4 linked regions of the Saccharomyces cerevisiae S288C genome follow. Changing the gene in region 4 together with the main gene of any one other region gives a genetic interaction. Each region holds a gene or a part of one and is shown on either strand. Other genes may lie near its edges. The genes, in order: SKP1, CPR7, SGT1 and HSC82.

Region 1 (7,441 bases), on a different chromosome or scaffold from region 4:
CCAAAAACCTGGAAAACATGAGTATTCAAGACACGTCAACTGTAGCAAAAAATGTAAGTTTTGTTTTACCTGACGAGAAATCAGATGCAATGTCCATAGATGAAGAAGATAAGGATTCAGAGTCTTTCAGCGAGGTCTGTTAAAATTGATATGCGAGCTCTTCATCTATTTAAGTTGATTTTTTGGTTGTAAACATATTTGTATTTTATTCTTAGGTTTGTTAATTCTTCTACGCTTACCAGATATAGATGCTATATGTTATTGCATTACGCACATTACCCGGTGGGACAAATTATGGAAATATTCCAAGGCTATAAATTCTTTGGTGAAAGGAACTGAAATTATGTCCAGTAATGCACCAGAAATGGACATATAAAACTATTAATGCATTTTATTACAATTATCCTAAGAAAATATCCTATATATAATTAAAGTAAAAGAAATAAGATCAAAAGAACAAAATAAAGTCGAGTAGAATTTTCCTACTTGACTATATTAGAACGAAAAATGTTATTTTATCAAAGTAATTGGTTAGTAGCCGACGTGTTATCCGTTTGGGCCAATAATTCTTTCATTTCTTGCAGCTGCAATTCGGTGATTTTTATAGATTCAACTAGCTGCTGTATTTTATGATCACTAACTCCATTTACGAGCTTAACCTTCTTGTTATTACTCTCCTTAATATGATTGGACAAGACACTATTTTGAACGGTTCCATTTCCACGATCTATCAACCAGTCCCATATGAGACCCTCCGTATCGGTGACTATGTTATTTTTATTCGAGTCTTTACGGCGGGCATCTTTTATAATATTATCTTCGTAAACATGATAGAGTGTTTTAAAATTAGGAACGTAATTATATTCATTTCCATTAATTAAGATTGTTCCTGGAGTAATAATCTGGATGTTCGAAGTATTCTTAGAATGGAATAATAATCTAAAGAAGAAAATCAAGCAAATAAAAAAAGAGATAATTGTCATAATTCCTTGAACGGATGTTATGTTTACTTGTTGTAACATTGAGAAAGCGGAAAAAAATGAATTTTTGGTACTTGTATCTTCGAAGTTTTCTTCATTCTTCTCATTCTTGATAGTGGATGGTGATGATTTCCTTTTATTTACCGTCTTTCCTCTTCTCCTCGATTTTTTCTTCGTTGAACTAGCATTAGAAATTATTTTTTTGAGATCATCTACGAGTTGCTTTGTTGAACTTCTTTGTCCATCAATTGAACCTTTCTCAATGGTTCCTTTCAGCATTGATTTACCTGTCCAGACAACATTGGTGACAACTTTCATGTTCGTTGTGTTGTGATCACCCCAGGAATAGAAAAATCTCGTATGTACTGAAAATGAACTACCGTAAGGAACATCCGGAGATCTGACTATTTGTTTTACCATAAAAAAACTGTTCAAATCCATATGCTCGATGGTCTCTGTGACTATACATTTAGTTTGCTTCGGACCGAATGAATTGTTCAATTTTTTGGTATAGGTGATCTCTCTTGCGTTATTCACAAACTTTGGAATATCACAAACATTAAAGTTATTCTGGTTTTCGATGATTTTCTTAATATATGATGTGTCATCACCATACAATAGTGAAAACACTGTTCCTAAAGGAACTGGTATATTAATTTTTTCATCGATAACTGTATCGTCTTTTCCTTTTTGAAAATCAGGTTCCGTCGGATCATGAACTGGAGGTCCAATAGTTGGCAGATTAATAATTTCTTCTTCTGATTCATTATTGCTGGCTTGATGCTTTGAGTTTATGTTTGAGTCTTCATCACTTAAGATTTTCTTAATTTCAGATATCATTATCTTTGTGGTGTCCGCAACACCATCAAATGTTCCCTTTTCAATCATACTTTTGATCCAACTTTTACCAGTCCAATCAACAGAATTGTAAACTGTTAATTTGGTGGAGTTGTTTTTATCCCAAGAGAAAAGGAAAACAGTTTTCACTGAAAAGATATTCCCTGAAGGAACATCCGGGTTCTTGGTAATACTGAGCACTTTAACATAGTCTTCCAAATCATAATGCTCTAAAGTATCTGTGATCAAACATTTTGTTTTACTTGGACCAATGCTGCCTGATAACGGTTTCGTATATGCATAGTCACGAATTTTCTTTGTGAGGAAATTGTTAGGGATTGGCGATATTTCAAAATTTTTCTGAGCTTTAAGGATCCTTTCATAGTAAGAGACGTCTTCACCGTATAAAAGATTTACTACTTTTCCTAATGGTGCATTAATATTTGCTTCAATAACCAAATGATCATTATTGGAAGGTTTGAAATCAGCAGTGGTTGGAGAGTGTTTATTGGGACCCAATAAGTAGTTCGTAGATTTTTGGTTTTTACCAAGATCATTTGATTCATTGAAAACATCAGCATCAATATCGTCACTAGATGTCATATCTGTGCTATTAATATCAGGGTCATCGTCATCCAGGTCTCCATCGTCGTCATTGTCATCGGAATCATCAAAAAATGCACTGCTCGAATCGCTTATCGTACCGTCGTCATTATTACCGAAGCCATTCCTATATTTTTTACCTAAGATGATCTGATTCCATACATCTGTAATTAAATCAAAGGTAGCATCCCTTGACATAAAAGAGGCGAAGATGTACTTTGTATGCAACGTATCAATTACAATACCATTGGGGAAAATTCCGGCGGTAGTCTTTTTCTCAATCTGAACGATTTCCTTAAACGGAATGAAAACTGTACTGACCCATCCCAAAATGTTTGAGAAAAATCCAATGTGTGCATCAGATATATACATCCTTCCTTGTAAAAGAATATCACGAGATAGTGCACAACTATGATCGACAATTAACTTTTCGTTAGGATTAATATCGCAGTCCTTGAAAAGGGTATGAAATTCGCTGTTTTTCTTTTCTGAAGCATATTCAATACCTTCTAACTTGAAATCATCATTGCCAGAATCCAAACCCATTATTGCATGGATATTACCTGAGCCCGCAGTACTTGTTCTTGGCATTTGCTGTCCCTGATTTGTACTAAAGAAATCAGAACTACTATTCCTATTTTTGTTGAATGAATTTCTTAAATTAATTCCAGGGATCACTTTATTGCCTAAGTTCGAAGGTGAAAAAGATCTCCTGTTTAAGAATTTTTTGGACATACTTCTGAATTTTCTTTCGTCGGCATCATCAAAGGCCATATCGTTTGAATAAGAAGAATATCTTGAATTTCTTTTACTATTACCTTCATCACCAACGGCATTCTCTAATGCTTTGTTCGCGGGCAGTGTCTTACTTCTTGCCCTATGGCTAGAAAGGTTCGATTGTGAATTTTCAAACCTTGCCATGTCGATATAGGTACTATTACGATAACTTGTGTTTAATTCTTTTGGACCGAGATTATTGTTTACGTTACTTTTGCTAATATGACTCAAGTTTGTTGAACTTGCATTTGGATTATTATTGGTATTATTCTCGTCCAGATCAATAGTTGTATTATCAATATCAGAGGATCCTGCCACTGCCTCTAAAGTTAAGTTGCCTTTACCAAAGGTTGAGATTGCAGGCTCGTGTACTTTCAAGGGCTGAAATTTCACTTTGCCAACATTTGATCTATCATCCCTATCATTGTCGTTCTCGGTTTCAGAGTTAGAGTTTGCATTTACGTTTCTATTGTTAGGTGTCAAAGAACCTGAAAGGGGCGTAGTCGATGTATTTGTAGGTACCAGTTGAGTTGATGGTGAAAGAAATGCTTTGGAAAGAGGCGATAACTCTTCCTCGTCATCCCCTTCCTCTACTTGAGTATGTTTATCAGAGGCTGGACCAGAAGTGGGGGATAGTAAATAATCTAAATGACGCAAAAATGATGAACTGCGGTGGGCTGTGTTAGCGGAGGGGGAATGAATGAGCACTGTGTCATTGGGATTTTGGTTAGCATTTTCGGAAACAGGTAAGGGCCCTTGTTGCTGTGACAAGGGATGTTGCTGCTGCGCGTGGTGGATATGGAAATAAGGATGGCGAGTTGAACCTGTATGACTTTCACCTGAATGCGAAAATTCACGTTGTATCTCAGTATTTAAGGCTGAAATTTTAGGGACATGAGATATGGCACTATGAGCAATTGATAGAATAGTATCAAATAGACTGTTTGAAGAATTCTCAATGTCGTTATTGTTGTTAATATTATTGGGTGCTGACATTGAATCGATAGCTGGGTGCGAAGAACTTTGAGAGTCATCCTTCTGTAAGATGCTCAAAACTGGTCGTTCATTCTCAGAAGACGAAGAATTGAATGTATTTTTAGTATCAGTATGTTTGACTTTCTCACTTGCTCTATCTATAGTCACTGGAATATTAAAATAACCTTGTGGAGAAGTATTCGGTTTCTTCAAGCCAGCCTTAGAATTTTGTAGCGATCTTCGAGGTATGAAAGTCAAGTCTATACCATGTTTGTTCTTATTACTCTTATTACTAATATGACTTCTACTACTCCTTATTGAGACGATATCTGGTAGCTCTAAAGGCAGTGGTGGGATAGAATCACTAAAATGAGGAGTATGAGAATATTGAGCAGGAGAGTTTGAACCAGAGTTACCGGCAACACCTTCATTAGTAGAGCCTATGTCGGTCAGTACTCTTCTCTTAGCGATGGTCTTTCTGCCATTGTTGGCCCTTCTTAATGATAGGGATGATTTTGCTGCGGAATTGGTAGATTCCTTCCTTGTACGAGTGGTCTTACTTCTTTCCATAACAGGTTGCTTTTTCCTTGACATCAATTTCAGTTTCTTGAAAAAATGACCATCACTAAATGACCTTTTTTTGCGAGTAGCTTCATCCCTCATTGGTTAGGGATATCTGTACAGCTGCTGCTTCTATATATTTATATGTGATTAGCAATCAATATACCCTATTTTAGATGAATAATTTAAAGCAAAGGGTTAAGCTGGTGTTGAAATGCTCGAAGAAAATAAACTTGACTTAAAATTTAGACCAAATATTTCACAAATATGATTCAAAACGGAGTGTTTACAGCTATCTGTCCTAAATTTATCCCGTCTCATCATGTAAACAATAGCTTTTATAACTCAATAATTTTCCTTTTTTCTTCTTGTCACTTTTGCGGCTTTTAGAAGACGCCTATCGCTACACACGACGATGGACCACACATCTTATTGTAGTTTGAAGTTTATGTAAACTGTATACATATATAATTCATACATGCTTGGTTATGGTGGACTAACGTACACATTGCATGACAGCAAGCCTTGTTTGCTTATTTTTGCCTATCTTGCTCTGAAATGGCGCATTATCATCGGAAGAAAGGATCACAGTCATCAGAGGAAATGTAGGCTAACGGTCTTCAGCCCATTCATTTTCACGCCTAATGGCAGCCTCCTCCTCTGGAGTGAAGTCGTTGACGATATTAAACGTTCTTCTAATTTCCTCGGGAGACCTTCCCCTGATCATTTCAGCAACCACCTTGCAGCCAGCGTCAAGCAAGGGCTTGATGTTGAGGTAGTTTGCCGCCAGAATAATTTCGTATAGCATCTCTTGGTCCACTTTCAGGAATTCTCTGTCCCATGAGTCCACGGGAGCACTCTTTCTGGAATCGTCGTCATCTTCGTCAGGGAAGTTAGAGTCTCTGTGGTGCTCGGCCCATTCGATAACCTTCTGCAAAACGGAAGACCGAACATTGGGCACGGGCATCACAATCTCGTCGTCATCCTCATCGTCGTCGTCACCGTTATTGTTGTCTTTGCTTTTGTGGTTCGTTTCCGAGTCTGAATCTGATTCTGAATCTGAGTTGTTTTGTAGGTTGCTGTCATGCATATCGTTCAGATAGTTTTTCAATAGCAGGGATCTCTCCGCGATTTTCTTGTCTACGGTGAATCGTTCACCCTCACCACTCACTAGGACAACATTAGAAGTCACCATATCTGCGCTACGTTTGTTAGTATTCCTGTATTGTTTATAACGTCTTTTCTGTTATATCTTTGCCAACGTTGGGCTATCACTTTCTCTGCCCTCAATATATCAACCTATTTCTTCCCTTTCTCTTCTTTTCTCCAAGACGCCCGTTAAATCGCTGCAGGGTAATGTCATGTTACCTATTGCACACTTACTGTATTAAAGATTACGCTATATATATATATATTCTGGTGTGAGTGTCAGTACTTATTCAGAGATTAAGGCTTGAAGGAAAACGAGCTGGAGACGCCAAAGTTGCTGTATACGCTGGCGCTCAGATCATCGAGCGGCTGCACAGAATCCAGAGTGGCCAGGTATTCGTTCACGCTGCCGCTATGGGAAGACCCGGCAGTTGTTTGAAGCATTTCTTGGCAACAGTCTTTCATCGACATAGCGAAAACTGCCATTTGATACTGTTGCTGATCTTCTTGGCCAGGTTTTTTCTTGGCTATTGTCTTTATGCCGACCTTGTTCATTATGAAATGGAATGATTCATTTATTAGAGACTCTAACACTATGGATGTTGCTGTGCTTTCGATACATTGGGTCAGTTCATTCACCAATTGATTAAAAACTAGTGTGTTAGAGTGAAAACTTGTTAAAGCATCCGCGTCAAGCGTCTGTGACAGAAGAAACTCCTGTCCACTGGAATCTTTAGGAAGCAAAATAGACGTGAGGTTATTATTATTTTGCTGGAATATTTGGGAATTCGTGTTCCGGAATATGTTCGTGAGACGAGAACTAAATTCTTCTAACGTTAGAGTATCTCTTGGGTGTATGCCGTCAAATTCAATTTCGATTTGATTTGTAATTATTTCATTGTAACTCAACCACCCCTTGTTAAGAATCCACCATGATAGTGATAGGAAAGCTTGCTCATTAATATACACTTCCTGGCCTTCTTTCTTTGACTTTTTTGCTGCCATTACCATTGCATCATCCGCTTTGTCCTCCGGATCGCTCCACCACGATGTAACCCAGTTATAGAACCTATTCTGTAGTTTGTTGCAGTTTTCCTGCTGCATGGTTAATTTTATTGCGGAGTCCAGGTACTCGTTTCTTGTCAGGATATTTAGTTGCAGTCTTGTTAAAAGAATCAGCGACGATACTGTGTACGTCACTGTCACCAGCTTGATCAAACTCTTTAGTTCTAACTCGTTCCACAACTCAGCTTTACTTTTTAACGGCGAACTTTCTCTGCTTTCACTAGACTTTGCTCTAGTCAACTGGTTCTTTTGGTCCTTTAATTGGGTAACGATGCTGTCCAAATTCAAATCGTTTTCATTCAAAACCATTCTCCATACAGGAAGTAGCTCGTATATTGTGTACAACGAGTCTTCCTGTGTCTGCTCGAACCTTCTTTTGATCTGTTCTTTGATGAAGTGTTGCTCAGTAATCCGTAACTGCTGTTTATACAACCATCTCTTCACGAAAAACACTACCACCGACCCTGTGGTAAATAAAGCAGCTATTCCAGTCA
Region 2 (8,110 bases), on a different chromosome or scaffold from region 4:
ACGACTCCTTGAAAAAATTCCATCATACTAAGTTTCTTGGTATAGTTACATTATCGTTGGTCTACTCCTTCTCGATTTCCCTCTTAGAAATAATCAACTCTTGCAACTGCCTTTCCACCGTAGGATCATCTACATACTTGTTAAATACGTTAAGCACTCTCAAAAAAGTTTCGTTACTTGTTACGCCTTCCACAAGTTGACCCAAGAAGATTTTAGAAAGAACGGATAAAATGCTAGTAATTCGTTTCATCTTGACATCTTGGATTTCATCCAACTCAAAAATCGGTAATAATCCTGTCTCTAGTAGGTTATCCACCGCAACTTTTTCCGTACGTAGTTGACTTGCTCGAGATAACAGAATGTTCTCTAATGCTTGCAATGCTTGCATACCTAGTTCGTCACAGGGATTGAGGCATTGATGGGCGAGACCTTGAATAGCAGCTATAATCTCATTCTTGTTGAGTGCTGAATTACTCCTCCCAACAGTCGAAAGTAGGTCTGCAGTTATATTAATGGAACGACTAGAAAGATCAATAATAGAACGGTATGGATTGGATTCAGGTGCTTCACACCCATCCTCGACTGAATTTTCATAATTTTGTTCCCATTTTGTGCCAACGGCACCTGCACATGACATTTCATCAAGCAGACTTAATATGTTCATAAAGTTCCCATCATCTACAAAGATATCACCATTTTGAATGTATTTTTCCAAAAATGTGTAGACGGCAAATTGGCGGTCTTTGGCTGATATTAATATCCTTAAAAAATTCCAAAATTTTACATTTTTGAGAGCCCGCTCATTGTATTTTACGTCATTGAGATGTGTAAACAGATCATTTATTACTTGCTTCCCCCATTCACTTTCATAATATTTAGTATTGAAGATTTCATTTTTTACCAAAAAGTCGTGTTCTATTAAATCACTTAAAATGTCCCGTGGATTATCAAATCTCGAAACCAAAAACATTTTATACGAGGCAAGTCTTGCAATAGCCTCCTTGGAAAGGCCATCTAAATTCGAAATATTAATCATATGATCAGCAATTAGTGCTCCAAATTCTTGTCCATAAGAAGCCTCTGATATTAATATAATGGATATTTCCAACAAAAAGAGAAGTTCTTGTTCGAAATAGGGCGAATTTTCACTCGTTTTTTCAATCACAAGTGAAGAGAGAAGAGTTTCAATCATCTTAGGACTGACGAGTTGATTGTTCTCAAAGACTGAACTGAGAGGATGGCTAGCCTTAACGCACTCAAATGCTTTAATGGAAAAATCGATGTCTTCTTCCGAAGGTTCTTCATCGCCTTTCAAGTAAGAGGCGAAAGTAGACAGAAGGCTTCTGCTCATCTTTGCCTTGCGGATCGATATATCTGGATCTGGCAATGGTAGTTCAGGAAGTTTCAAGAGTGAATGAAAGTTTGTAAAAAATGGTAAATTAGGTTCCATCAATAAATTCTCGAATAATTTCAAAATGAGTTGCACAATCTGGTTCCATAGTCTGGTAGAAACAATGCTAGGATCACTTATTTCTTTAATGATTTGAAAGTACAATACGGTACATAACTGAGCCTTAAAGTTTTGTCCAAGTCTTATACTCTGGTTACTAACGGATATCTTCGACCCAGTGTCTTCGACGAATATCTCGACCAAAGGAATACTGTCAACATCTAGCTCCACCGCTTTTGCGCTACTTTGTGCCAATGTTGTCATTTCTCCCAGATGAAGTACAGTATCATTATATGACTGGTCAAAAGAAAAGTAATAGTTGATAAATGTACACTTACTAATGGCGTCCAAGATACGTAATGATATTTGATCACTGGAAGCAACTGTGAATATTTTGAATAAAGTCTTCAGGATAATATCTCTAACATTTGAGAAAATTGCTTTCTCATACTGAAGTATGTCTATTTGCGCTAACTTAGAAATAGGGTTTGTGAAATCTCTTTGCATCTCTGTCATCACAGATGTTGAGGATATTAAGTTATTCCAGGCATCTTCAAACCACCTTTCATTTCCATGATGTTCTTCAGGCATTACTATTTCCTTAACTTTGATGGACGTGTAAATTTTATGCAAATACCAACGAGGAAAATCTTTTCCATTGTAGCATCCTCGTAAATTGTTAGAGTAGTCATCAAAAGTCATATGGTCTTTAACCTGCGGGTTATGTGAATCGGTATTTAACATGATTATCGAATAACTTAACACAAACACAGAGTCTGCATCAGGCTGTACATGAATGATGTCATCTTCTGTCATTGACTCTGAGCCATTTTTTCCTGCTTTTTTATCCTCTAACTCCACTTTATCATTGCTTTGATCAGCAGAATATTTTGATGAAAATGCTTCAACGATTCTTTCAATCTGTTGAGATTCCCCTGGTAATCTGAATTTCGTCAGCAAAATTCTGATCGCTTCATCAACCCTTAACCCTTTAAAATCGAATAGATCTATAAATTCTTTTAACAATGAAGTTTTTTTCGGATCACAAAGTAATAGACCGATGGTTTTCTTATTTAAACGTCCGTTATTGAGAAACAAAAATGAAGCAATGTCTCTATTAGAATCCGAATCAATGAATCCTTTTTCAATTAACATTTGAATGCCTTTCTTTGCCTTTTCATTAAATGTTTCAACGCATAATATGAATTCAGTCTTTCTGTCTCTCTGTTTCAAAATATCAATTTCTTTCTGATTTTTTACGAATTCTGCCCTATCAAATCTCTGCAGATCATTGTATATATTTTCAATAAGCGAAAGTACACCTTCTAGGCAAATTGGAGGAATGTTGTTAGAGGTATTAACGGCCGCCGCTGGTAAAGAAAATTTAGTTAGCTCTTTTATAAAGTCAATCGAAAGATCCGACCTATCCAAATTACAATCGAAATTTACAAAAAGTTGCAAAAAGAAAGCGGGAGAGTGAATCCACAGTATTGAAAGTTGTTCAATAATTAATTCCCTGATTGCAGGTGGTTTTTGCTTACTAACGTCACCACTGATTGTGGTATCCTCTAGAATTTCGAATATTCTCCTTAAAGTCAGTTCAATCTGCATAGGCAAATAATCACCCAATATCACAACCAAACTCGTGAATAATTGTAAAGTTGCTTGCAAAAGAGAATACTGGGTAGAACTTTGTATAATGAATAAAACACTTTTAAATATTGGATCAGAAATTAAGCTGAATAACCGGGGATATAGAGGAAATTTGTCACCGGATATTTCAATGGCTGCATTGATTAACTGTAGAGATAATTTCATGGCCGAAGTTGTGTGCTTCATTCTATTCTCTGGCATAACCAGTGATAACAATAATCCAAGATAATCCTTTATAACTGTTATTCCGTAATTTGGCTCGACATTTTCGGCTTTCTCAGCCGTTTCCTCATCATTTTCCTGTTCCCTTATGACCTGTTGGACTGGCTTCTCATTTTTATTATCGTCTGCAACAGCACTGTCATCATCAGTGCTACTCAAATCGTTATCAGAGGTAGTCGTACCTATAATGTCATCCTTCAAATTATTGTCGGTGTAACTTTCATCATTGATATATTTTTCTGTTTTTGTAGGTGGATCTAGTAACTTCAACTTTGTAAATAGTTTAACGGTTATCCCTGCAATTGTAACTTCAGCCGTTTTCCTCAAAACCTCGCTTCTCTGCGTATTACATGCCAAGGAAAGTGTCGTTTGTAAAACATCGTAGATTATAGTATCGGAGAGATAGTCTCCAAAGGAAGAGGTTATAATATCGCGTAGTAATGTTACAACTTTTAATAAAACAGAGTCGTCCGAAATTTGCTTTGAAGCTTCAAATCTACAATGTGTAAGCGCAACAACGGTTTCCCTAACGGCAATTTGAATATCATTAAATGTTTTGTTTATGATTTTTAGTGTAAAAACTTTCTGCAACGAGTCCAGAGCCAGAGAAGTAGTATAACCCGATACTGAACTAGCGCTGACTATTTCTAAAAATGGTTTCAAAAGTTCCAAGGCGTTTAATGAATCTAAACCCTTCAAGTCGTTAATTTTTAGCCGCAGCTGTACTAAACCAGATATCAGAGGATCATGATAGCTAGAAGTAGGCAAATTGTGGAAGCTGTCAACAAACGAATCACTTTGACTCAAGAATATATCACTACCTCCGCCCAGCAACGCGGCCACACTTGTTTGTGATTTATCTCTGGACTGCTTGTTCATGGCAGAACAAAGATTGATGCACTCTTTGACAATCATCGTAGCTGGGTTCACGGCCAAAACAGTTTCCATTGGCACGTCGTGCATTTTGTATATGAAGCCGTATTAGTTAAACCTGGGCGCTTCTTACCAAAGTTGCGAATTAACTTAACTAAGATGGTTCAATTCTCTGTGTAAAGTATCCATATTAAAAGGTCTTAGTTCCAACATGTAAACAAAGAGATCTATATATTGTTTTTTTTCCAATGCGCTGAGTGATGAAGTGATTAGAAAATCATAAAAATGAGAAACTGCAAAGAAAAAAAAAGTCGTTATTCTGAAAGGTGTTCGGCAGCAACAACCTACATCCAACGCGATGATTCAAGATCCCCTTGTATATTTAGACATCTCCATTGATAAAAAACCAATTGGTCGTATTGTCTGCAAACTTTTTCGTGAGAAGGCTCCTAAAACAACAGAGAATTTTTATAAGTTATGCGCTGGTGATGTTAAGAGTCCTTTGAAGGATCAACAGTACCTGAGCTATAAGGGAAATGGTTTTCATAGAGTCGTTAAGAATTTTATGATCCAGGCAGGTGACATTGTCTTTGGGACACAAAAGGATTCCTCTTCATCGTCTGTTGGAAAAGGTGGATGTTCAATTTACGCTGATAAAGAGGAAGTGAAAACCGATGATGAATCTTTCTGTTACGGGAATTTTGAAGACGAAAACTTGGGAGAGTTTGTAGAACCCTTTACCTTAGGTATGGCCAATTTAGGTTCTCCAAATACGAACAATTCCCAGTTTTTCATAACTACATACGCCGCACCTCATTTGAACGGCAAGCATTCTATTTTTGGGCAGGTGGTTCATGGAAAATCAGTGGTTCGCACTATAGAAAACTGCAGGGTAGATTCTGATGGAGTCCCTGAATCAGACGTTAGAATCAGCGACTGTGGAGTGTGGGAAAAAACTATGGGTGTCCCGCTTTACAACGCTTCTAATGACCAAATTGGCGGTGACGTATACGAAGAATATCCAGACGATGATACACATTTCGGTGACGATGATTTTGGTAAGGCTCTTGAGGCTGCTAATATAATCAAAGAATCTGGGACGCTCTTATTTAAGAAAAAGGATTACTCTAATGCCTTTTTCAAATACAGAAAATCTTTAAATTATATCAATGAATACATGCCTGAACCCGACGTAGACAAAGAAAGAAACATCCAATTTATTAACCTAAAGATGAAAATTTACCTAAATTTATCTTTGGTGCTCTTTAATCTGGAAAGATACGATGATGCTATCATGTATGCTACGTATTTATTGGAGATGGATAACGTTCCTAACAGAGATCAAGCAAAGGCTTATTATAGAAGAGGTAACAGTTACTTAAAAAAAAAGAGACTAGACGAAGCTTTACAAGATTATATTTTTTGTAAAGAGAAAAATCCCGATGACGAAGTTATAGAACAAAGAATAGAATATGTCAATAGGCTCATAGAAGAGAATAAGGAAAAGACAAGAAAGAATATATCAAAGTTTTTCTCCTAATTAGTTACTTGTAAGGCTGAAATTTGAGATTAAATAACCCAATATGAAAACACTACATTAATAAGATGTAATTATTTTTATTTATAAATCCATTTATTTGATAAAAAATATGATATCATACAAAGTCATCTAGTAAGTTCTTGGTAATAGCAGATTTTTTTGGCTTCTGTGGCTTTTGTGATGAAAGATCATCTAATATGTCCTTAGAGAGTTTATCTTTCCTATTTTCTGAGTTGTCTGTTTCACCCACAGAGTCGTTTGGCGCTTTTGGAGTTAAATTCTCTTTATGCTGAGAATATGAAGGAGAGACGAACTCATCCAGTATACTTCTAGGTGCAGAAGAAGAACTTTGAGCGAGGGAATTTGAAGAAGTGCTATTTGGTGGTGGTTGCAAGAAGTCGTCTAATAAGCTATTTGGTAACTTTGGATTAGGTGACTCTATATCTGAAGCACTTGGCGAGCCAAACTTATCAAAAAGACTGGGCCTCATCCTAGCAGTAGAAATTGGTTCAGACGCCATGGCGCCAATAGCAGAATATGCTCTATCCTTGGTGGGGCTCTTTAATAGCTTCTGAACTGGTATGGAATTTCTTTCGATGAACTTCCAATTCTTCACAAGTGAAACCGCCAGGTAATTGCAACCCATTCGGCAAAGAATATCAGTAACTCTTAAGATCAGAGTACACTCGATTTTTGCTTCAACATTTAGAGATCCAATGAAATACTTCAAGTTTCTGTTTCTCAGGTGATTGTATAGATAGAGCAAAGCAGGGTCTTCAACAAGGAATGATCTGTTAACACAGACTTCCTTATCAACAATGCTTGAGTTGTTTTCTAAATCAATCGGAGCAGTCAGCAAAGCTTTAATAGCCACTTCCTGCTTTCTCAATTTCCAGTAAATGAAACTTGCTTTCCATCTATCATTCTCCTTTATTGTTTCAGGTAGCATTTGCGCTGTCAATAGCTCTCCCAACACGGGTCCATTATCACCTTCATAAACACGACATACACCGATTGCCAAATCCATATCATGCACTTGCTTGCAAAGAACGTTGACACAATCTTTTAGAGAGTCAGTTAAGAGAAAGAAAACTGCTGCATCCATATATCTATGCTTACTTAGCAGAACAAAAGCATTTTTGAGTGCTGCCGTTCTCCACCTCGGTACAGTGAAATCATTACTGATAAATCTAACCATCTTTTGCTGCTCAGGATGACCAATAGCCATCTTCCACAAGCTCAATAGTATCTGTTTTTTCTTCAACGCAAGATAAAAAATAGCACAACGGCTTGGATCCCTCTTATCATCTTTGGAAAATTCATATTTTGCAATATCCTCGAATTTCTTCACCAAGTCCTGCTCCTTAATCCAATAGGCTATTCTATATTCTCGAGCGCGATTCCATGAGGTTATGTGGCGGTCAATAGAAGATAATAATATTTCTTTATTGTCTGAGTGCAATGCCCAAGACACATCCCTCATCAATATGCTTTTTTGAATATTTTTATGTGATAAAAATAACTTCACGCCCAACAAGAACCTAACACCGTTGTAATCTACTATATTCTCATTTTTGGTGACTTCATCCACTGCTTCAATGACTGTGATAAGCGTGATCTGCTGGTGGCGGGTTAGATAAGGCAAAGTTGTTTTCGTTAGTTGCTCAGTAAGTGCTAGAGACACTGTCTTATTGAAACAGGGGTATGGATCAGGGAAAGATTCGACCGGATAGTCTCTATCTTTAGCAATAAAGTACTTTAATGGATCCATTCCTAGATTGGAATCCAAATTAGATACATCTTGCGATTCAAAGTCTAATTTTCTTAACGCTAAAAACAATCTTAATAACAGCTCCTTGACAAGTTGTAACTTATTCGCATAAATGGCTTGAATCAAAAATTGTGGATGATAAACTGGAAGTGGACCATTTAAAACACTACTTAAATGGAGAATATCATTTGATAAAATTTTTCTTGAACCAATTGATTGGTACGTAAATGGATCAGTCAAATCCAGAGATTTATCCTTGATGTAAAATTGATTTCCGGAAGCAACAACAAACGTGCCATTTTTCATCCATACGGAGTCACCTATATTATGAGCTGTATGTGCTGTGATATCAATTTTTTCAATAGGTAGGTAACTAGGTGTGTTGTTCGTGTAATCATACCTTAATTGAGTATAAAGTAAAGCGTATCCTGTAAATCCGATAGAGACAATGCTTTGGCCATATTCCGTGCTTGTCCAATCTATATCCTCGATAGGATTATGAAATGTTTCTTCGTATTCAAGAACTCCCCTGTTCAGGTCCCATAGTGACATTACTTTACCAGTAGAATTAACAATACATAACTTACCTGTAGATGATCCT
Region 3 (8,255 bases), on a different chromosome or scaffold from region 4:
CCACTTTCCTTACTAAGCAAAAAAGCAGCATTAGATACAGCAAAAAAATTTGTCCTAGGAAGTTTTTTACCCAGGCTCCGCGACTATTTAAAATCCTTAATCACTCTAAAACACCTCATACAATCTGTAAAAGAAAACCTTCCTGGATTGACAGAAGCAGATAACGAGGCTATCGCCGAGTTTCCAGAATTAAGCACATTAACCGCATATTTGTTACAAATAGAAAATGGTAAAGGCGATATTGGTTTGTCCATGAAATTTATTATAGATAATAGAAAAGATATTTTAAAGGGATCGGCATTTAAAACTATTAACGAAGAATCTGTGAAACACATGAATGAAGTCATAAAAATTTACGAGGAAGAATACGAGAGGAGGTTTAAAAGCGTACTCACAAAAAAGGTTAGTATTTCATCAATATGTGAACAACTTGGAACTCCCCTAGCAACGTTAATCGGTGAAGATTTTGAACAAGATCTAAGATCATATGGAGAAGAGGAAAACTCCACATCAGAAATACCAAATTTCCACCCGGTAGACAGAGAAAGAATGTCTAAAATTGATATTACATTGGAAAAACTGCAAGCTATCCATAAGGAAAGAGCAGACAAAAAGAGGCTCCTGATGGAACAATGCCAAAAACTTTGGACAAGGCTAAAAATTTCTCAAGAATACATAAAGACTTTTATGCGTAACAATTCAAGTTTATCAACCGAGTCCTTAGGTAGAATCTCTAAAGAAGTTATGCGACTTGAAGCAATGAAAAAAAAACTAATAAAAAAACTTATATCAGATTCCTGGGACAAAATTCAGGAATTGTGGCGTACGTTACAGTATTCAGAAGAAAGTCGGTCTAAATTCATCATTGTATTTGAAGAACTAAGGAACAGTGCAACAACTTTACAGGAAGATGAGCTTCTTCTAGAAACTTGCGAAAATGAGCTAAAAAGACTAGAAGAAAAACTGACCCTTTATAAGCCAATTTTAAAATTAATATCAGATTTTGAATCTTTACAAGAAGATCAAGAATTTTTGGAAAGAAGTTCAAAAGACTCTTCACGGCTTTTGTCTAGAAATTCTCATAAGATATTACTAACTGAAGAAAAAATGAGGAAAAGGATAACAAGACACTTTCCTCGAGTCATCAATGATTTAAGAATTAAATTAGAAGAGGCCGATGGTCTATTTGATCAACCTTTTTTGTTCAAAGGTAAGCCACTTTCAGAAGCAATTGACATTCAGCAACAGGAAATCGAAGCAAAATATCCAAGATGTAGAGTTAGAATGCAGAGATCTAAAAAGGGAAAATGTGGTGCGAACAAAGAGAATAAAGTCATAAAAAACACTTTCAAGGCCACAGAAAGTTCCATCAGGGTACCGATTGGTTTGAATTTAAATGATGCCAACATTACTTATAAAACGCCTTCAAAGAAAACAATACAAGGCTTAACAAAGAATGATCTATCCCAAGAGAACTCGCTTGCTCGTCATATGCAAGGAACAACGAAGTTATCTAGTCCGAACAGAAGAGCAACAAGATTACTAGCACCCACAGTAATATCTAGGAATTCCAAAGGGAATATAGAGAGACCTACCTTAAACAGAAACAGATCATCCGATCTTTCATCATCGCCTAGGATAAATCATACGCATGGCGAACATGCAGTAAAACCACGCCAATTGTTTCCTATCCCGCTGAACAAAGTCGACACTAAGGGTAGTCATATCCCTCAATTAACTAAAGAAAAGGCTTTAGAACTTCTTAAAAGGTCGACTGGCACCACGGGTAAGGAGAATGTACGAAGCCCGGAACGCAAAAGCTCATTAGAAGATTACGCACAAAAATTGAGCAGTCCTTATAAAGAACCTGAGCACAGCATATATAAACTTTCCATGTCGCCAGAAGGTAAATTTCAATTAAACATTCAACAAAAAGATATTGAAAGCGGATTTGATGATACCAGTATGATGGAAGATGAAAATGATAAGGATTTTATTACATGGAAAAATGAGCAAGTTTCGAAATTGAATGGATTCTCCTTTACAGATATTTGAATTTCTTAAAAGCGCATTCATTTAACCCTCTGATCTCTTATTTATTTTTTTTGTGGTTTTTTTTTTCACATCACTTTCTAGCCTTCGCTACATTGTCTCTTTCTTTCCTTCTTTTATTCTATCATTCTCCCTTTCCTTTTTCCATTGCACCGTGACTCTGGATTAATATGGACATAATAAAATTTGTAATATTCAATATAATCATGTAAGCATTCCAAGTAAATACGCAGGTTGGCTAGTCTAAATCGAAAATGTAACATTACTACCATACTATATATCTACATATTGTAATTGTGTAGGTATATACTAATCATTTACCAATGTTTAGGTTCCATGCCTTCTGGTGGTGAAGTTTTAACCGTTCCCTTAGATACGTCTTCCCAGTCTGTACTCAATGCAGTACCATTACTTTCTATAAAGGATTTCATCATAGCCCTTTTGGTATCTGGATCCGCTCCAGCGTAAAGCTTTTGAAAGAAACTATCAGCCGATCCCGCTTCTTCATCAGCTTCTTCATCAATGTCAAGTTTAGACCAATCTATTTTTTTTTTAGAGGACGATGGATAAGACAATCTCTCTTTTGATGCCGTTTCTGCTGATAATAAGCGGGTTGCAGAATCAGAATTTTTACCCTCATCTGATAACCTTGAGGATTCCGTTAAAATATCTTCTTCCAACTTCTTCCATTGCGTGCTATCAATTTTGCTCAAGGTAATTTCCAGCTTTTTTGGGAAAATTTTTAATGACACTGCTTTTGGATCCACCTCATGCGAAAGCTTAGCGTTGTATTGAAATTCAGATCCAGATTTCGGTACTTGGTACGATATCGATAAAGTTCTTCTATCGTTTGGAGAAATATATATATTGACTTGTTCCTTAGACTCAGGAAGATTAACAGTAAATAATGATATAGTGACAGAGGTGCTGGATTGATACCAATCGATTTTAAATTTAGGGGATTCTTGAGGAGCGGTTTCAATTTTGAGAGGTGAAATGGGACTATGAGAAGAATTATTATCTCCTCTGTTTTCAATACTTTCCACTGGTTTAATTGTATGCTTATTAGTTGAATCCTTCTGCTTTTTATTTTTTTTATTCAATTTTGTCTCCAGACGATCTTCCCATAAAGGCAAAGTGTCATCAACGTAACCAAGATTCTTGGCTTTTTTAAAATAAGATTGGGCCAGTTCATAATCTTTGATATTGAAGAAATGAACAAAATAACGAAAGTTAACAAGACCAATCTTCGATCTATCGCCCCTACCCTCAGCTGTCATTAGAGCCTTGTCAAGAAGTTCCTTTGCGTTTTCCATAGTTGCATCGCTGTGCCAATCAGAAAACCCAAAGTATAGCTTTTCAAGACATGCTGCCTTAAAAATGAGAGCCGTTAAATTTGTGGGTGAGCCTTTGAGAATTTCATCATAAAGATGGAGGGCCTTCAGTGGTTCCTTCTCATCATACAAAGCTTTGTAGGCAGTTTTTAAATCTTTTTCAACAGGCATTTCTTTTTCGTTTCCTTAAAACAACTACCTCTTTAACCTTAAAAGACTTCTGCCATTACTTTGTCATAGTGCTTTCGTTCAATTATTAGCGTTCAAAGATATATCGCATATGATCAACTCATCTTGAGACCTTACACCCTAAAGTGCTTATATTGGCTTCGTTTATAGTGATCAAAGTCATCAATATAGTGCTCGTCAGTGTAAGACTGAGAAGATCATTCTTAAAAGAATTAGCAGATGATGCATAAGCACTATGGCGGTATTATCTACTATCATTTCTCTTGTATCTGTGCTGAGCCTGGTTCTATTGAAGAAGAATTCAAAATTTGAATGTCTCAATAGAAAAACCCGGACATTCCATAATGCAAGATCAAAATTTTTCGATGAGCTTTGTTTTGCATTGGCAAATTTTTACCTGCTAAGAAGAAGTCTACATGGAGAAACAGCACCATTATCTCAAGTATGTTCTTAACATAGAGGTCGTTCAGTCAGCGCTAGATAAATCTCATCGGCGATCATAGTTCAGTATTTTTCTAAAGTTTCTTTAAAGGAGCATAATATGACCGAAAACCAAACCGCACATGTAAGGGCGTTGATATTGGATGCCACCCCATTAATTACGCAGTCCTACACACATTACCAGAATTATGCACAGTCTTTTTATACTACTCCCACAGTTTTTCAAGAAATTAAGGATGCTCAAGCAAGGAAAAACCTTGAAATTTGGCAGAGCCTCGGAACTTTGAAATTAGTACATCCAAGTGAAAACTCGATAGCCAAAGTAAGTACGTTCGCCAAATTGACCGGTGACTACTCCGTACTGAGTGCCAATGATTTGCATATTCTTGCTTTGACATACGAGTTAGAAATTAAACTAAATAATGGCGATTGGAGACTGAGGAAAAAACCAGGTGATGCATTAGATGCGTCCAAGGCTGACGTTGGTACGGACGGCAAACAGAAGCTCACAGAAGATAATAAAAAGGAGGAGGACTCTGAAAGTGTTCCAAAAAAAAAGAACAAGAGAAGAGGTGGAAAAAAGCAAAAGGCAAAAAGAGAAGCAAGAGAAGCAAGAGAAGCTGAAAATGCAAACCTTGAGCTAGAGAGTAAAGCTGAGGAACATGTTGAGGAGGCTGGATCCAAAGAGCAGATATGTAATGATGAAAATATAAAGGAATCTTCCGATTTAAATGAAGTATTCGAGGATGCTGATGATGATGGTGATTGGATTACCCCCGAGAACTTAACAGAAGCAATTATTAAGGATAGTGGTGAAGATACCACTGGTTCATTGGGTGTAGAAGCGTCCGAAGAGGATCGCCATGTCGCATTGAATCGACCAGAGAATCAGGTGGCATTGGCGACTGGCGATTTTGCCGTCCAAAATGTAGCGTTGCAGATGAATCTAAATCTAATGAATTTCATGTCAGGTCTGAAAATCAAGCGAATCCGTAATTATATGCTAAGATGCCACGCCTGTTTCAAAATATTTCCTCTACCAAAAGACGGCAAGCCAAAGCACTTCTGTGCCTCATGCGGTGGACAGGGTACCTTATTAAGATGCGCAGTTTCCGTTGACTCACGCACGGGGAACGTTACACCGCACTTGAAGTCGAACTTCCAATGGAACAATAGAGGAAACAGATATTCTGTAGCCAGCCCCTTATCTAAGAACTCCCAAAAAAGGTACGGCAAAAAGGGACACGTACATTCTAAACCACAGGAAAATGTGATTCTCAGAGAAGATCAAAAGGAGTACGAAAAGGTGATAAAGCAAGAAGAATGGACAAGAAGACACAACGAGAAGATTCTAAACAATTGGATTGGTGGCGGTTCTGCGGATAACTATATTTCTCCATTTGCAATTACTGGGTTGAAGCAGCATAACGTCCGCATTGGTAAGGGAAGGTACGTCAACAGTTCCAAAAGGAGAAGTTAGTGTTTTTCATAAATATCTGTGTAGTGTGTACTAGTTGGCAGCTGCCCTTTTTCTTTTTCTTTTTTTTTTTTTTTTTTTTTTTTTTTTCACGTGGTTTTTCTATGACGTTTTCCAAAACAAGCGTGTCATGTGAGCTTTTTTGCCCTTTAACTTTCTGGTTGGAGAGTCCAAAAGACCGAAAAGGTAAGAAAACGTTTTATTGCTCAGTATGCCCTCCCCTTATGAGATGAATGGTGTTACAGCACTTTGAAGAGGGCTCGTTTTGAGGACTTTTTGATCAGGATTAATACTAGATTGCCAAAAAAAGGATAGCCTTTTATAAGATTACTTTAGTTCAAAGAAGAGACCAGAAAGAGGAATACTGGCCATAATTATAGTGCAGAGACGCAATGACAAACAAATCTAGCCTGAAGAACAATAGGAAAGGGGTTGCTTCGAATACTCTCTCTGGAGCTGAGCAGGCCAATATAGGTTCATCGGCAATGCCTGACACAAATTCTACGGGACCATTTTCTTCCGTTTCTAGTCTGGACACTCCTGTAGTAAGGAAATCAACTAGTCCCACTGGTTCACAAACTAAGTCAATCATGAATGCTAGCGGAACTTCTGGGGCAGTTGTAAGTAATACACCAGAGCCAGGGTTAAAAAGGATACCAACTGTTACATTCAGCGATCCAAAGTTGGGTAGTCTCAGGTCGGATGTGGAGCAAACTCCACCTAACCAGGTGGCCAGACAGTCCAGCGAAAAGAAAGCAACGTCTGTACACATCGCAGCGGAGGGTGCAAATCAAGGAAGAAACTTGAAAGACATAAATACAAAAGTACCAAAAGATGGCGAGGCTTCTGCTTCTTCTTTTTCGACTCCAACCTCTATTCTCTCCAATGCTGATATGGGGAATAACATATCCAGCCTGCTGGCTAAAAAGCTAAGTTTCACCGGTGGAACAGATTCTATTTTAAACTCTGACAATAGTTCCGATAGCCCCAGAAAGGAGCACCCACATTTCTACGTGGAAGATCCTTTACACACCCCATCAGTTAGATCAAGGTCTAACAGTACTAGTCCTCGCCCCTCTGTGGTAGTGAATACATTTAACCCCATCAACATTGAACGAGAGGGCTCCATATCAAAGACTGGAGAGCCCACATTGTTGGAGTCTGTCTTGGAAGAAGCAATGTCTCCCAATGCAGTCTCAAATCCCTTGAAGAGAGAAAATATTATGACCAATATGGATCCAAGGCTTCCCCAAGATGACGGCAAGCTACACGTTCTTTTTGGGGCAACAGGTTCTTTGTCTGTTTTCAAACTCAAGCACATGATCAGAAAATTAGAAGAAATTTACGGAAGGGACAAAATATGCATACAAGTTATACTAACTAACTCAGCAACCAAATTTTTTGCAATGAAGTATATGAGGAAAAATAAGAAACAACACAATAGTATCGATACTTCTTTCAACAGCACCAATTCTAATGCTGGCAATATAACTGGTAACAAGAAAAAAGTAGCCTCTCTTGAAAAATTTAGCATTCAGAAGACGTCTTCAAACTCAGCGGCTTCTCAGACAAATAATAAACAGGAGGAAGAAAAACAAATGGCCTCTACTACTGGATTTCCTTCGACACTTGGTGGTAGTCGTACGTACAGCAACTCTTCAAACGTTGTATCGCAACATCCTCAAATTGAACTGCCAGCACATATACAATTTTGGACAGACCAAGACGAGTGGGATGTATGGCGACAACGAACTGATCCTGTATTACACATAGAACTACGTCGTTGGGCAGATATACTAGTTGTCGCACCATTAACCGCAAACACGTTGGCCAAGATTGCCCTTGGTTTATGTGACAACCTTTTGACAAGTGTAATAAGGGCATGGAATCCAACGTTTCCCATATTCCTAGCGCCTTCAATGGGTAGCGGTACGTTCAATTCCATAATGACTAAAAAACATTTTCGAATTATTCAAGAAGAGATGCCTTGGGTAACTGTATTTAAACCCTCAGAAAAAGTCATGGGCATAAACGGTGACATCGGGTTAAGTGGGATGATGGATGCAAATGAGATTGTTGGCAAGATAGTCGTCAAACTAGGTGGTTATCCCGATGTTTCTGCGGGAAAGGAAGAAGAAGAGGATGAAGATAACGATGAGGAGGATGATAATAAGAAGAACGATACTGGTGGTAAAGATGAAGATAATGACGACGACGACGATGACGATGATGATGATGACGATGATGACGACGACGACGACGACGACGACGACGACGACGACGACGATGATGATGATGACGACGATGATGACGACGATGATGACGACGACGACGACGACGATGAAGATGACGAAGACGAAGATGAAGACGATGAAGGAAAAAAGAAAGAAGATAAAGGAGGGCTACAGCGATCTTAAATAGGACTAATTTCATTATTGTAAAACTTTTGAACTATATATATCTTTACATAGAATAAATTTGCATTAATCACTGATAACCAGAAGAGAAGGCTAAAAATAGGCAAGTAGGACACTTAACTCATTTTCCAAAGGGAGTTTTATGTCTCATAGTTAGCGCTTACGATGCTGCGGAGGTGCGTCGTCACTCTATCGGATGTTCATTCTGAGGGAAAGGGAGTGGTTCAAATCCGATTTAACCTTGCCAGCTTATCGCAAAGCGGGTGAGATCAAATGCTCCACAGCTCTGCGGTTCGTTTCACCTTTCTGTTTTCTGCGAGCTTCGGCCCTGTCAGGGAAAAAAAG
Region 4 (9,130 bases):
ATTCAAGTGGCAAACATCTGCACCAAGATCTCCGGGTGAAGTTAGCCCAACCTGCGCATTCATATTAGCACCATCCAAATAGACTTGTCCACCAAAAGAATGTACGATATCAATAGCATGTTGGATGCCTGGTTCAAATAAACCGTAAGTGGAAGGATAGGTGATCATTACGGCGGCTAGTTCTTTAGAATGTTGTTCAGCCTTATTCTTTAAGTCAACCAGATCTAATGAGCCATCCTGCAAACAGTTGACAGGAACAACTTTTAAACCCGCCATAGCGGCAGAAGCCGGATTTGTACCATGAGCGGATACAGGGATTAAACACACGTTACGATGATTTTCACCTTTGCTTTCCAGGTAGGATCTGATTACTCTCAGACCAGTATATTCACCTTGAGCACCTGAATTTGGTTGTAAAGAAATACCATCGAAACCTGTAATGCTGCATAAATCTTTCTCCAACGAAGTAATTAGTTCCTTGTATCCTTGGACTTGGTTTGATGGCTGGAACGGATGGATATTCGAAAATTGGGGCCAAGTGATTGGCATCATTTCAACAGTACTGTTCAATTTCATAGTACAGGAACCTAAAGGAATCATAGAATTAGCAAGAGATAAATCACGAGATTGCAACCTATGTAAATATCTCAACATTGCTGTTTCGCTATGGTGCATGTGAAAGACTTCGTTCCTCAATATTTCATCAGTACGCTGAAATTCCCTTGGGAAACTGTTAGAATAGTCCTCAGAAAGAAACTGCGAAGAATTTTCAATGTCAAACACTTTTAGTAGATTTTCAACATCAGCTTTTGTAGTTGTTTCATCAAGAGCCAAGGAAATAGTGGTGGTGTCCACGGCAAACAAATTGATATTAAATTCTTTCAAGGCCTTGTCCAATAACTGCTCGGAGGATATGCCATTACCTAACTTTATAGTCAAAGTATCAAACCATGTTTTATTAATTAGTTCGTGAGGGCAACTGTCATTTTCGATGGCATTTGCCAATATTGATGTTAAGCTAAATATCCTCCTGGAAATATTCTGTAGGCCCTTAGGACCGTGATAAACACAGTAGCTCGAAGCAACATTAGCCAGTAAAGCTTGAGCGGTACATATATTTGAAGTTGCCTTATCACGCTTGATATGTTGTTCTCTTGTTTGGAGGGCCAACCGCAAGGCCGTCTTGCCTAAGCGGTCTTTAGAGATACCGACAATTCTACCTGGAATTTTTCTGTTTAATTTATCAATAACAGCGAAAAAAGCAGCATGAGGACCACCATAACCCATTGGGACACCAAATCGTTGAGAGGAACCCAGGACGATATCAGCACCGTAATGAGCAGGTGGTTTTAGAAGTGTCAAAGCCATTAAATCTGAGGCCACAGAGAGCAAAGACTTGTGAGAGTGTAACGCATCAGATAACTGTTTCATCGAGTCAGGCGGTAAGATTGAACCATCTGTCGCTGGATATTGAACCAAACAACCAGATACGTCGGGGTTCTTTAAAACATCCACAGCTTTCTTGATATCCGAACAGTCAACTTCAATAATTTCAATATTGAACGGCTTGGCTCTGGTGTGAAGGACACTCTTTGTTTGCTGGTGTAATTTTTTATCTATTACGTATTTTAGTTTCTTTTTTCTGGAAATATTGAATGACAAGAGCATAGCTTCTCCAGCCGCTGTACCCTCATCCAACAATGAGGCGTTCGCCACAGGCAAACCAGTCAAATCTGAAACAACCGTTTGAAAGTTTAATAGCGCTTCTAGCCTACCTTGAGAAATTTCGGGTTGATAGGGCGTATAAGAAGTATACCATTCTGGACTTTCTAGCAGGTTTCTTTGTATAACCGGTGGTAAAATCGTACCGTAGTAACCCTTACCTATGAAATTTTTAACTTTATAGTGGTTCTTATTGGCAATCTTTTCTAGATGTTGAAGCATTTCTTGTTCACAGAATCCCTTACTAGGAGCTTCTAGTTTCAAGGGTCTTCTCTTCAAAATATTGGGAGGAACGAGCTCTTCTATAAATGCGTTTAAATCGCTATAACCCATTGTTTTTAACATTTTCTTAACGTCGCTAGGAGAAGGACCTAAATGACGTCTAGCAAAAGTATCTAGCGGTCTATCAATGTTTTTCAAGTCAGGATTGAAAATCCTGCTGTACTGTGTAGACGTTATGTCTGTAGCGGCTGTTTTGAGCAAAATAGATTGAGAATGGAATGATCTAGTCCTCGCTAATGAAACATAATTGGTGCTTGACCTGACAGTAGCCCTACAAAGGAGAGCAGTCACTCTTGTCCTAAGCATGTTATCTTCCTGGTATTAGGAAACGTTTTTCCAATAAACTGTGGTTAGTTGATGGTTAGATCGCGCAGCAATCAATACAGTAAGATTGGTACACACGAGAAAGACTAATTCACTGGAACTTGAAGAGAAGAAAATTGTGCCACTCGAGCCTGCTATATATACATCCATTTATATTCGTTGGAGATCTTTCGACTAGCTTATCAAGGTCCTTCACAGCTCAATGCTGACTTCGATGACTCCTCTGAGAGTCATGACTCCGAAAAGGAGGAGTCTATACCTCAAGAAGAGTCAGAGATGTCGGGTAACGATTCAACCGGGTAACATGATTGTTATTTCATAAGATTAGAATTCTGAAGCAATTTGGGATTGTGCCAAACCAATGCGAGCATCAAACTGTTAGAGGAAATCCACAAATAAGGCCAAACAGAAGTAAACTCAGGGAGTTGAATTCGGGTTAGAGATTTCAAAAGTCAAATCAAGATCAGTTAAACTGTAATGGCTCGCCAAAATTTTTTAGGCTTGGTCGTCTCCCAAGGGAAGATGCAAAAGACGGTTAAAGTACGTGTAGAAACAAAAGTCTTTAATAAGAAAATCAACAAGGAGTTATTTCATAGAAGAGATTATTTAGTGCATGATGAAGGTGAAATATCAAGGGAGGGTGATTTAGTAAGGATAGAAGCGACGAGGCCGCTTTCAAAGAGGAAGTTTTTTGCCATTGCAGAAATTATTAGAAACAAGGGTCAACAATTTGCATTATACGAATCAGAAGCTCAGTTAAGCGTTGCAAAAGAAGAAGCCCAAAAGGCAAAAGAATTTTTGGATAAAAGATCAGTGAGGGAGAATAAACTAAATGAAAAAACAACCCTTTTACGTGATATTAGGACCATCCAAGATGCTTTATCTAGCGGGTCAACGCCGAAAGAGTTATTGGAGATTAAACAAAGGTACGGCATTCAAGATTTTTCACAAGAAACAGTGAGGCAACTTTTACAGTTAGACATCTCTGGATTGGAGGTTAATTTGGAGAAACAAAGAAGTCTCATTGATCGTATTCAAACGCGATTATCCGAATTGTTGTCGAATGATCTAAAATGTGATCAATTTTTGAAGGATCATGGTGTTGAGGATCCTTTGACCTTGAAAAAAAACATCAAAAAAAATTTGTTAAGAAAGCACGTCATGATGGATATGCAACAACCAAGCCAGTAAATAAAAGAAAGAGGAAAGCCGAGTGTCATATTTTCTCAACTAAAGCACTACACTCTGTAAATATATACAACTACAAGACTTCGTTACGTAAATAGTAAAGTGTTATGTTTTGACTTTAAAATATTCTAGTGAAAAGAACGATGTTTTTGATTTTCTATCGTTTAACGCATTTATATATTTTCAGGCAAGTGATATCGAAGATGTGAGTACATCGCTCGTCCCCATCGTCAAAAACAAAAGTAAATAAAAGAGCTCTGCTCTGATTTTACAAACAAGAAAATTCCAAGGAAATAGTCCAAGTTTTATATGACCCCACCTCATTTTTTTTTATCTCTCATAAAAAAAAGATGCATATGCTGGATATGTTTGGAAGAATCCACATATGACTCTACATGGCTACAGCACACGTGCGGTTGCAACTTACAAATTCATAAACGCTGCTATATAAGATGGCTCTATCAAATGCATGTTGAACTTTTTCTTCCGAACACAGTGGACCTACCAAAGGATGCTGATTTACCTATAATCACCTGTTTAAAATGTCTCGTTGATGGGCACCATGATTTTATGACGACTTTCTCTCTTACAGAAATATGGGAAACTCGTCCCATTTGGGGGCAAAAATCAGTACCGTTTCAAAATGACTACGTGTTCAATCTAATGTCTCTTTATACCAAACGGGATAATCATCCACCTTATGTGTTAGTGAAATTTGGCGAATGTCCTCAATGCAAGAAAACAAATTTCATAAAAAGACCTACAGTAACCATCCAGTCTTCTGTACTATCCCTGTTTTATCAGTGGCAAAAAATTACACGATACGTGATACCATTAGGGATAACTAGTTTATTTCTTTTAAACCCTGAAAAGACAAGTTTTGACATTGGATTATGGCAACTACGCTGCCTTTTCCCTGAGAATGTTCTACGAAATATGTTAAACATCAGCACTACAAAGGCATTGGACGTATATGCGCAAACTGAACGTGGCTTATTAAGCATTCCTTTAACCTCCTCGATCATAATATATGGGTTCATACATTATCTTAGCAACATTTCTAACGTCAGTGCTAATGCAATACTCTTTAAGTGGGTGTATCTCAGTATTGTAAAAACTGCTGGAAACAAATATTACAAGGGTATAGGTTTACCTAAAATAATTTTGTATTCTAACTTGGCTACATTTTGCTATAATTTTACCTTTAAAAGATTGGTTGACTTAATTTACAGGAGGCTGATCAATAAAGGAGGTAAGTATTTGTATCACGGAAATTTTGAAAACTCTAGTAATAGCGTTCCAGCTGAGGAATTTTTTATCAGGCGGAATTGGTATGCTATTCTTGCAGAAAAGATACTATGGCCCTTTGTTGGTAAATGTACAGGAGGTCTTCTATTGAATGCTTTTCTATGGATACAGAGAAAGTTTAAAATTGAATGGACGCCGAATTGCTCCCCTTCGGAATTTAGAATGATTTTCAATATTATAGGTTGTGGTACTGCTGCTATAGGCTGGTCAAGTCTGAAGCTCTATGCCAGTTACAAAAGATGTCAGGAACTTGAAAAGATCAATGAATTTATTGAACAAAGTTGCAAAGGTGAGTAAATAAGTCATTCGTAAGTGTACACTAAACTTTAAGGACAGCTGGTAGGACAATTTTATGGTCATTTGACAGCTGATGTCTTAAATTGTGTGCTATGGTTCATGTTTACATTAAGACCAACTTTTTTAAAGGCGCGTAAAGCAGAATCATTATTACAAATAGTAAAAATAAGTAAACAAATTTATATAATATATAAAACATGAAGGCGAAAAAAGAGATTAATCAACTTCTTCCATCTCGGTGTCAGCTGGAACCTCTTCAACTGGAGCTTCGGTAGAAGCTTCTGGAGCGGTTTCTGTTTCTTCATCCTCATCAATGTTCAAACCTAAAGAAATCAATCTATTTATTCTTGATGCAAAAGAAGTTGGTTCTTCCAAACTGAAACCAGAAGTCAACAAAGCGGTCTCGAATAATAAGTTAGTCAAATCTTTGACGGTCTTATCTTGTGCACCACCCTCATCAACTCTCTTTTTCAATTCCTTAATAATTGGAGATTTTGGAGAAATTTCGAAAGTCTTCTTGGAAGACATGTAGGAGGACATGGAAGAGTCTCTCAAGGCTTGAGCCTTCATGATTCTTTCCATGTTAGCAGACCAGCCGAATTGACCAGTTCTGATGGCAGCTGGAGCATCTAGCAATTTGTAAGAAACAACAACCTTCTCCACTTGGTCACCCAAGATATCCTTCAAGGCCTTGGTCAATGGTTCGTATTCTTTGATCTCCTTCTCTCTTTCAGCTTTTTCTTCGTCTGTTTCTTCCAATTCGAAATCTTTAGTAATGTCAACCAAAGTTTTACCCTCGAATTCCTTCAATTGAGTGAAAGCGTATTCATCAATTGGGTCGGTCAAGAACAAAACTTCAAAGTTCTTAGCCTTCAAGGCGTCCAAGAATGGAGACTTTTCGACTGCCTTTAGAGATTCACCGGTGATGTAATAGATGTTCTTTTGGTGTTCTGGCATTCTAGTAACGTAATCAGTCAAGGAAGTCAATTCATCGACAGATTTAGTAGAATTGTAACGTAGCAACTTAGCTAAAGCAGCTCTGTTTTGAGTGTCCTCATGTACACCCAGCTTAATGTTCTTAGCGAAGGCAGAGTAAAATTTGTCAAATTGCTCGGAGTCTTCAGCGATTTCGTTGAAGGCTTCAATCAATTTCTTGACAATATTCTTTCTAATAACCTTCATAATCTTATTTTGTTGTAACATTTCTCTGGACAAATTCAATGGTAAATCTTCAGAGTCAACAACACCCTTGACGAAAGATAACCACTCTGGAATCAAGTCTTCAGCTTCATCAGTGATGAAGACACGACGAACGTACAACTTGATATTGTTCTTCTTCTTCTTACTCTCAAATAAGTCGAATGGTGCTCTCTTTGGAATGAACAAGATAGCTCTAAATTCCAATTGACCTTCAACAGAGAAATGCTTAACGTACAATGGGTCTTCCCAGTCGTTAGAAATAGACTTATAGAAAGCATTGTATTCCTCTTGAGTGATATCAGATGGGTTTCTAGTCCATAATGGCTTAGTCTTGTTCAACTCTTCTAATTCTTGAACCTCTTCTTTAACTTTTTTGGTTTTTGGCTTCTTTTCTTCTTCTTCTTCATCGACTTCTTCCAATTTTGGTTTCTTGTCATCTTCATCCTTCTTTTCCTCGTCTTTCTTTTCTTCTTCTGGAATTGGAACTTCCTTTTCGACTTCCTTGGTGACTAGAAGTTGGATAGGGTAAGCAACGAATTCAGAATGTCTCTTGATGACTTCTTTAATTCTCTTTTCTTCCAAGTACTCCAATTGGTCATCTTTCAAGAATAATCTCAAGACGGTACCTCTACCAATTCTTTCGTTAACTTCGTCCAAAGTAACGGTGAAAGAACCACCGGCATTAGATTCCCAAATATATTGTTCGTCCTCATTGTTCTTGGAAATAACTTGAACTCTGTCGGCGACTAAGAATAAAGAGTAAAAACCAACACCGAATTGACCAATCATGGATACATCGGCACCAGCAGATAGAGCTTCCATGAAAGCTTTAGTACCAGACTTAGCAATGGTACCCAAATTGTTAATCAATTCAGCCTTGGTCATACCAATACCAGAATCTCTGATTTCCAAAACTTTTTCTTCTGGTTTTGGGGTGATTCTAATGAACAAATCTGGTTCGGTTTCCAATTGCTTTGGATCAGACAAAGCTTGGTATCTAATTTTGTCTAAAGCATCGGAGGCGTTAGAGATCAGTTCTCTCAAGAAAATTTCCTTGTTAGAATAGACAGTGTTGATGATCAAACTCATCAACTGAGTGATTTCAGCTTGAAATTCAAAAGTTTCACCAGCCATATTTCAGAATGATTCTATTTTTCTATTGGTTCTGTAGCGTTTCAAGAAAAAGAAAACAAGAGAAAGAATATATCACAAAAAATATAATGCATGTGTTCATGTCACTTACGGTAGGCAGTTCACATGCCACTCTTTTTATACAAATCTCCTCCCTCATTACCCAACGCTTGGTGGAAGTTCGAGAAAACGAGAAAAATTGTTCTTTCACCTTCTAGAAAGAAAAGTGCCCAGAAAACAGAAAGGCGGGTAATAAAATGCATCGGCGGCTATTTTAACTTTCTATTGGTAATGGCTGCTGTTCTATGAATACAAAAAGAAAGAATATAAAAGAACGTAAATATTAATTTTGCCTAAGAAGCAAATTATAATCAAATGCGTAATGGGTTATAAACTATCTAGTACGGTTAAAAGCTTGTCAATCTGTTCACAAACCATGTAATCTTCATCTTGATCACGAACGTAAGATAATAGTGTTTTTAGCTTATCGTAGTTGTACTCAAAGGGAAGTAAATCAAATCCTGTACTGTACAACAAATCATGTATCAAGTGTACGGCACTTCTTCTCATCAAAAAAGAATCATCCTTGTCCTTCAAATGATTTTGTGGTTGTTCTAATTGCAATATTCCAAATACACAATCCAGCATATCGCGAATTCTATCCGAGACACCCCTGGCGTTGATTTGAAGGCACATACCTAAGATTGACATGGATGACATACGCCATCTATTGTCCAATGGTTTACTATCATTTGGCCTCACAATACTAAGACAGGTATCTATAATCAGATAAGCCAATTTACCCTGGAACAATTCGTTCTGACGTTGAATGTAATTGATGAACACTTCTCCAACTTTCAGCACATCATCTAATCTGTTTTTCTTTTTTTTGTTAGCATAAAATTCTGCAAGTAGAGGCAATATGGTTTCTGGCTCTAATTCACATAGCGTTGTAAGTCCTTTAATAACGTTGAGATAAATGAAAGGGTCCATATTCTTTAAATAATCTAAATGTATTTGCAACACCTTTTCCAGTGAAATTACTGGAGACTTCTTTTCAGCTAGATGACGTAGTTCTGTTAAACCATAAGATTTTATGGGCACTAAAGGATCATGTAGACTAGTTATCGCTTTGTCAAGCCTTTCCTCATCCATCTCAATTTCTATGTTGTCGTTCCTTTCCGTAGTATGTCCGTTAATCAATATATTATCTATTGATGCCAATAATGCATCTATTTCGGAAGCATTAGTGTTGAAAGATTGTAATTTTCTAGAAATGGATTTCAATATATAACTGTTTTGCAATAATATACTACTGGACGATTCTGAAAGGACGGTTGATAATAACTGCAAGATAATTTTGTAGGAAGAATTTTCATTTGGATCCAATTCTTCTGTTTCTTCTCCTTCTTCAACTTCGTCGTCAGAATCTGCTTCTACTTCCTGTATTGTTTCATCTTTTTCCTGAACAACATCTATCAATTGATCAATAACAATAAGAACGTCCTTAGGTTTATTAACAATCTTGGTTTTAAATCGGTTGTTCATACATTCCAAAAGTTTCAAGTCCATGAGTATTAACGCGTTATCTGTAACGCTTGGCATCCCGCTATGATTATCGGAAGATCTTTTTTCACTTTTTTTTGTATGATGGACCCATCTTTTCAGAATATCTAAA

Evidence for each region.
Region 1: mutations in HSC82 (region 4) and SKP1 impair growth when combined (synthetic growth defect), as found in Saccharomyces cerevisiae (3 studies listed by BioGRID, with this or other methods).
Region 2: mutations in HSC82 (region 4) and CPR7 impair growth when combined (synthetic growth defect), as found in Saccharomyces cerevisiae (6 studies listed by BioGRID, with this or other methods).
Region 3: mutations in HSC82 (region 4) and SGT1 are lethal when combined (synthetic lethality), as found in Saccharomyces cerevisiae (3 studies listed by BioGRID, with this or other methods).

The regions. Positions count from the first base shown.
Region 1 is NC_001136.10:1,120,091-1,127,531, forward strand, and holds SKP1 (SCF ubiquitin ligase subunit SKP1), read right to left. Parts: upstream 5,929-7,441; coding exon 5,344-5,928; downstream 1-5,343. Other genes in the region: condensin subunit YCG1, read left to right, coding at 1-143; YSP2 (Ysp2p), read right to left, coding at 519-4,835; PEX3 (Pex3p), read right to left, coding at 6,180-7,441.
Region 2 is NC_001142.9:486,525-494,634, forward strand, and holds CPR7 (peptidylprolyl isomerase CPR7), read left to right. Parts: upstream 1-4,556; coding exon 4,557-5,738; downstream 5,739-8,110. Other genes in the region: Arf family guanine nucleotide exchange factor GEA1, read right to left, coding at 62-4,288; RAV1 (Rav1p), read right to left, coding at 5,854-8,110. UniProt on the Saccharomyces cerevisiae protein: PPIases accelerate the folding of proteins. It catalyzes the cis-trans isomerization of proline imidic peptide bonds in oligopeptides. Plays a major role in negative regulation of the heat shock transcription factor (HSF).
Region 3 is NC_001147.6:427,488-435,742, reverse strand, and holds SGT1 (co-chaperone SGT1), read right to left. Parts: upstream 3,558-8,255; coding exon 2,370-3,557; downstream 1-2,369. Other genes in the region: ASE1 (Ase1p), read left to right, coding at 1-2,055; NOB1 (rRNA-binding endoribonuclease), read left to right, coding at 4,117-5,496; phosphopantothenoylcysteine decarboxylase complex subunit VHS3, read left to right, coding at 5,886-7,910. UniProt on the Saccharomyces cerevisiae protein: Involved in ubiquitination and subsequent proteasomal degradation of target proteins. Required for both entry into S phase and kinetochore function.
Region 4 is NC_001145.3:630,680-639,809, reverse strand, and holds HSC82 (Hsp90 family chaperone HSC82), read right to left. Parts: upstream 7,456-9,130; coding exon 5,338-7,455; downstream 1-5,337. Other genes in the region: GCV2 (glycine decarboxylase subunit P), read right to left, coding at 1-2,310; mitochondrial 37S ribosomal protein uS17m MRPS17, read left to right, coding at 2,806-3,519; YMR187C (uncharacterized protein), read left to right, coding at 3,826-5,121; RTP1 (Rtp1p), read right to left, coding at 7,840-9,130. UniProt on the Saccharomyces cerevisiae protein: Molecular chaperone that promotes the maturation, structural maintenance and proper regulation of specific target proteins involved in cell cycle control and signal transduction such as CNA2. Undergoes a functional cycle that is linked to its ATPase activity.